Coturnix japonica: one gene and its partner. The protein of the gene in region 2 purifies or fractionates together with the protein of the main gene of each other region. This does not show direct contact. Links are inferred from orthologs where the notes say so. Each region holds a gene or a part of one and is shown on either strand. Other genes may lie near its edges.

The links. The genes of interacting proteins can lie anywhere in the genome.
Region 1: the proteins of PGM1 (region 2) and GRHPR fractionate together in Homo sapiens (co-fractionation; 3 studies listed by BioGRID). This does not show direct contact. The link is inferred for Coturnix japonica from reciprocal best matches to the Homo sapiens genes PGM1 and GRHPR.

The regions. Positions count from the first base shown.
Region 1 is NC_029547.1:66,763,181-66,766,051, forward strand, and holds the end of GRHPR (glyoxylate reductase/hydroxypyruvate reductase), read right to left. Parts: intron 2,716-2,871; coding exon 2,585-2,715; intron 937-2,584; coding exon 815-936; 3' UTR 651-814; downstream 1-650. UniProt on the Homo sapiens protein: Enzyme with hydroxy-pyruvate reductase, glyoxylate reductase and D-glycerate dehydrogenase enzymatic activities. Reduces hydroxypyruvate to D-glycerate, glyoxylate to glycolate, oxidizes D-glycerate to hydroxypyruvate.
Region 2 is NC_029523.1:25,079,056-25,082,765, forward strand, and holds part of PGM1 (phosphoglucomutase-1), read left to right. Parts: intron 1-2,298; coding exon 2,299-2,434; intron 2,435-3,710. UniProt on the Homo sapiens protein: Catalyzes the reversible isomerization of alpha-D-glucose 1-phosphate to alpha-D-glucose 6-phosphate. The mechanism proceeds via the intermediate compound alpha-D-glucose 1,6-bisphosphate.

The DNA of each region.
Region 1 (2,871 bases), on a different chromosome or scaffold from region 2:
CATCACCATCACCGTGTTGTGTATGCACAGCAATTTCAGTGCAAAGTGCTGTGTAACAGCAAAACGTTCAACACTGAACCCTCCCTATATGGGCTGTCTAGAAGATCCTGGTCAGTGTCTGCTGGACTTGGGTGGGTACGGGCCAGGGAAGAGAGGAAATGAGTGACACAGATGAATTGGTACAGTAAAAGAATGTAAGCAGAGCTGCCCTCATCCTCATCCATGTGTCACAGATGGGGAAGATGAAGGCATGGTCACTGAGACAGCCAGCTGTGAGCACTCACTGGGAGCTGGGACAAGACTAAGCTCTGGTGGGCCCTCAGCACGTTGCACTCAGTAACAGGGTGGCTGTGTGCAGGGAATGCACTTTTTGATCTTAGAGGTCTATTCCTACAGTAATAGATGCTATAATGCAGACGAGGTCAGTGGGCACAGTGAGGGTGGGCTGGGTTGGCCTTGGGGATCTTAGGGTCTTTTTCCAACCTTAACAGTTCAGTGATGCTGTGATTCTGGATGAGAACTGAGAGCTCCAGAGCAGAGCTGAGGGGCCACCTCACACTCACGCACCAGCATTTATCTCCCCCATTTACAAGCACTTGAGACACCAATGGCTGGAGGCGTCTCCTTCCCAAGTGAAAGGCACACACCACTGTCACTGCTTCTCTTTAATTGCTATGGTGCAGTTCTCTTGCCATGGATGCTGTTGACTCCTCACTTGCAGAGCAGGGGCACAGGACCCACCTGCCCACTACCCCAGGCTGGCACACGATGCTGCATCCCTCACGGTGACCTGGTGGTGATGCTGGTCCAGCCCTCACAGCAGCAGCTCGTGGGGCATAGGCTCGCCCCGCAGGCCAGCCAGCAGGTTGTCAGCAGCCAGCACAGCCATGGTGCTCCGTGTCGCATAGGTGGCACTCCCGATGTGTGGCAGGATCACTGTGGGCAAAGAAAGGGTCACATCTGACAGACAATCCAAACTAACCCATCTATGGGTGAAGGCCAGCAGGCAGCAGTGCTCCTCCTTTCCACATCCAGACTTGGTACTCAGCTCCCTGCACAGACACAATGCGTGGCAGATGACAGAGAAACATGCAGAAAATCTCACACTGTGGCCTCATTACTGCACACCTCCACTCTCGTACAGGTACAAACCAATGCATACTGGGGCAACAGCCTGAGAACTGCTCAGGATATTGGGACCTGCAGGCTCCTGGGTGTGCTGGAAAGGTACGTGTGATGGCCAACAGCCCCTACAGAGTGCAGAGCTATGGCATGGTCAGGGCAGGGCAGGCTGTCCAGGCCCACATCCAGGCAGCTTTTGGTGATCTCTGAGGATGGAGATCTCCACAACCTCTCTGGGCAACCTGTGCCATTACTCTGACACCAGCAAAATGCAACCCACTCCTTTTAGGTAATGGTAAGAACCACGCCAAAGCTGCTTTAATGGCATGATTAGTACATCAGCAATGGCTGGGTACTTGCCCAAGCTAGAGAAAAGACTGCACTGCAGTCTCTGTCCATTTTAAAACAGACAGCACCTGTGGGGAGGGTGGAAACACAAAAACCTGACACACTGCTGAGTGAGGGAGGTGGGAATTGGCTTCTGCTCCCAGGTAACAAGATGAGGGGTGATGGCTTCAAGTTGTGCCAGGGGAGGTTCAGGTTGGATATTAGGACAAACTTCTCAGAAATGAAGTGGAACAGGTTGCCAAGGCAGGTGGCAGAGTCACCTTCCCTGCAAGTGTTAAAAAAACATGGTGATGTGGGACTGAGTGACGTGGTTTGGTGGGGATGGGTTGATGGTTGGAGGTGCTAATCTTAGTGGTCTTTTGCAACCTTAATGATCGTGTGATTCTACTATTTCAGAAATGGACATCCAGTCATGGGCACAACCACACTTTCCCCATTGACCTCCCAACAGTTTGTCTACTGAAGAGATTTTTCCTCATATAAAAATGTCCTTCCTTAACAGAGGAATCTTGCTGCCTTCTGCACCCTCATGCAGAATTTTGGTCCTTCAGATGAAGGCATATGCACAGGGTTTCAGATTTAGGTTGCAGCATGACCAAACCAAGCACTCAGGTGCACAAGAGGATGTTGTCCATCGGCTCAGAGCACAGGAGATTGCCCAGATGAAGCATGGATGGCTAGGTAGGAACAGGCACCCTGCCATGCTAACAGCAACAGAGCTGCCAACAACCAGAGTTACTCTTTGCTTAGAAACCAGTGTTTCCACTGTGTTCCATTTCTGCCTCCAGATCTGCCTTGCCTGTGACCGAGATTACGGAATGCAGATCCATCTGAAAGATGTTAAAAGACAAGCCAGTCTCAATTGCTTTCTGGACTACTGAAATATCTCCCAAGATTATTTTATCTTGCACTGACTCTCCACATAGCACAACTGTTGCCTAGAAGCTGCTTAAATGCACGACCTTCCTTTCTGCCACAAACACTGAAGCTCTTGTTCACCATCTGCAGGCCCCCAAGGAAATTAGCCAGCAGGTCCTCTGCCTTGACAACGGAGACGGCTCTCCAAGCAGGAGGGGGCAGGGCAGGGACCAGGGCAGCCAAACACACCACTCACCACAGTTCTTGAGTTTGAGCAGAGGGTGGTCGGTGGGCAGTGGCTCCGGCGTTGTGACATCCAGGCCTGCAGCTGCAATTTGGCCACTGACTAATGCATCATACAAATCTTCTTGGTTCACCACAGCCCCTCTGGAAAAAAAACAGGAAGATGGGCTTGCACAGCTCCAGTCAGGCAAGTCCCCACAGTCATCTGCACATCCATCCCATTGGGGCTGGACACACGGACACAGCCCTGGGCAGGGACAGTGCCTGTCCACAACAGTCAAATCAACCTGACTCTGTATC
Region 2 (3,710 bases):
GCAGTTTTATTAGGGAAGGTTTCAGGTCACTATTAAATCTCCGAGCTTAATAGGGCCCTCATTTTCCTGTTCTAAAAACAAGGTATGATTTATAAAGTTTAAATTAACACTTGCCTTTGAACAGTCAAAGCAAGTTATTGGGTTACTGAGAAACAAAGCGGACATCTTAAGGAATTCACCAGGGGTGCACGTGTGATGCACGGCTGTTATTTGTGCGGGCTCCACGCCGTGCCTGAAACGTGGCCACGGTTTGTCTTGCCTGGTTTGTCCTTGAGATCTTGTTGTTCTGTTGTGTGAAGTCCTCAGGACAGTGGGGCAGCCAGAGGTGCGGGCCTTGGGGGGGATCTAAGTGGGATGATTGGGGTCAAACCTTGCATGTTTCCATCCCACCGCCTCATATTTTAGCCTGCTCTTAGGTGTTTCGTGGAGCAGGACTGGCTTCAAATCCTCAAATACCAGATATAGTGCTTTGTGGATCTCGGTCACAAGATGTTACCACCTCAGCTTTTTGGTAGCTGAGGACATGGCACTGCAGACTGGCTGGAGGCTGCTGGCCATGAGGCTGAAGAAGTCACCAGGACAAAACTTTGCAATCAAATGCTATTCTAATCAACAGAATTAGGCCCCAGTGTGGAACAAAAGGGGAGTTTTGGATAACATGGTATCTTTGTAAAGATATCTTGAGGGTAAATGTGAGCATAGAAAGATTTTGGAGTTTAGCCCCGAATGGTTTCAGCATGCGTTAAGTTTATGTTGCAGCCTTTAGCTGATGAGAGTGGCTCAGCATTTAGAAAATACAAACAACAGCAGCAAATGATTCATGGAGCTGCTGATAGGAGCTGGGCTCTAACGAGCAGCTCTCTGAAATTGCTTCCATCTTCTGTCGCATGTGCCATGAGCTCATGGTTTCTCTCCAGCCCATGGTTGGTAGGCGACTACATCGCCAATAAAAGTGACTGAAACCACTTGCAATGGGGCTGAGAGGGAGGTTGGGTGTTTTGGCTGTGCTGCATCACACCTGGGCTGCATCTTGGGGTGGCTTTTGGGGGAATACTGTGAAGGAGCTGGGGCAGCCTGTGCTGGGCTCCCTGCAATGCAGAGGGCGTTTGCCTGTCTGGGAAAGGCCCTTTAAAGAATGAATTGGGATGAGGGAGGTTGTTCGATAGCAACTTAATGAGGAGTTGTTTGGAGTCTGACAGTGTGAGTGCTGAATGGGAGCAAGGTGAAAGAGCAGCCAAAGAGACCCAGTAAAAATTGAAACAAACTGCGACCCGGCGGGACCAGAGTCCAGCAGCAATTAGAGTAATGCGACGTGACAGAATTCCTGCTTGCTTTCTGGGGTGTTTTATTCCAGCAATAAGTTGATACATCACATGGGACTCCTGTTTATTTAGCATTCCTCTCCATCACCTCTGTGCAGCTCTCAGCTGTGCAGGGCTGTGAGGATAATTTACCACCGCATCCACAATGTGGGGTTTGTGTCTCGCACCGCATGGCCCCAGCTGATTCTTTGGGGGGTGAAATGGTGGCTCTGGCCAACTCTCTCCATTGGCAGGTGTGCCCCGGCTCCTTGGGGTTTTGGTAATACTAACCTGGATGTTTTCCAGAGCCCAAAGGATAAAACCCAGAAGCTGTGCATTGAGCCCAGCACTGAGCTAACCAGGCAGGAAGGTGTAGGCTGGATTGGGTGTGCTCTGGCTGCTCTTGGATCCCACACTGAACTCTGGTGTTTGGGGCTGGGTTGAATTGATCTTCCTGTGTGAATGAAGTCCTCACGCTGCTGCCCATGTGTTTGCCATGTTCCCCAGCACCCTGCAGTCTTGGAGCCGTTAGGGTTTGGCTTCCTTAGCGAGGGCTGGCATTTCTCTTGGTGCTCAGCCAGTGTCTGCACCATCAGGGTATACTGATTTGACAGACAACGAGTGACAGCTGCTCAGAGATGCTGATGGTAGTTCTCGAGCTGCTCCTTTGCATTTGCCTATTTATTTATTTATTTATTTCAATGACCTTTTTAGTGCACATTCCCCATTGCTTCCTTGGGAACAGAATGAAGGATCTGTGAGTAATGAGTGTGTCTTAAAGGGAACTGAGTGTTTTATTTGGGCTATAGCTGAAAGCAGATGATATCTTGAACTGCTTTAACAACCCACAAGCATCCAGCTTGTGAAATGCCTTCCATTTGTGGAGCTGTACTACTGCCAGCTTGGTGGAGGAGCGGAGGTGAAGCAGAGCTGTGCTCAGGCTCTGGCCTGGCAGGAGGAGGACGATGTGACATGTCTGTGCTGTGACTCTCTGCAGGCTCTGACCACATCCGTGAGAAGGATGGGCTCTGGGCTGTCCTGGCCTGGCTGTCCATCCTGGCTGCCCGCAAGCAGAGCGTGGAGGACATCATGAAGGATCACTGGCAGAAGTATGGCAGGAACTTCTTCACCAGGTGAGGAAGTGCTCCGGGCACCTCGTCCTTCTGTCCGCCCTGTGGCCGACCAAGGATGAGCCCTTGTGGAGGAGCTCAGTAACCTGAGCATCAGCAGCACCAGCCTTGCTACCACAGCAGTTTCTGCCTTGTTGCACTTGCTCTTTCTGTGGAGTTTCAGTGGTTTGAGGCTCCCTGTCTGGTTTGTGCAGCTTCTCTGGGTCCAATAAACCTGTGGGTATTCACCTTAACCTTTCATGGCGTCCAGTTTAGAATTTGTTACTCTGAATACAATTTATTCAGTATCAAACTCTGTGAAGGTTGTGCAATTCTTATATCCAATAGGTAAGCTTTTTTGTTTTTTATTTAATAGAGATCTTTTCTTGCAAGAATTTTTCCTGCTTTTAGAACAGTCTGCTTCTTTAGTTTACATCATACAAATCGGTTTGTAATATCTTGAGTGATGGCTTTGCCTCACTGAATGGGCACCCAGCTCCTGGGCAGCTTTTTACCTGGTTGGATTTCTTTCCAGTTCCAAAATACTCTTTAATTTACTCTACTATAGACACAGGAGATGAAAAAGCAGAACTGACCTGCACTGAGCAGAAGAGGGGGATGCTACCTGCAGTGAGAGCAGGAGGTAGAAATCTTTCACTTTGGCAGACCTCTGTGAAATTTCTGTTTCCAATTGCCAAATGTAAGAACCTGCCTTTTCCTTTTTATTATTTCCATCCTACAAAGCCAGCATACATCTAAGGCATTTAAAGCTACGGAAAAAATGCCAAAATCTAGTATAAAAAGGTAGTCTTCAAGCACCAGAGGTATGTCTGCATAGCAGGCTGGGTGCAGTGGCAGGCCACTAACAAGCCTGTGCATGCTCTGTCTGGCTAGGTGTGCAAATCACACTGGCAATCGGAGTACCAGGTCTCAGGTCCTCGTCTGTGCATGTGCTGGAGTGGCTGCTCTTTCTGCTTCTCTTACTTACGTTAGCTAGATCAGAGCTGGCACTGACTGTTATCATATGCTGCAATCACACCTTTGCTTTGCTGTGGGGACACACTGAGGTGCTCAGGCAGAACTGTTATCAATCAAGAGGAGCCTGTTGAGATCCTATCAGAGGAATTGGGATAAATGCTTTACAGCCAGTGTTGCTGGAATCTGGTCCTCCATCTACCTCAGTCTTAGATGTATCTGAGATAGGTTGCTGTGTATCCCACAGATTAGTGCTGCACCCACATACCGCTGCGTATATCCTCTCCTTACTTCTGGTCCTTGTCTCCAGTATGAGTAGAAAACA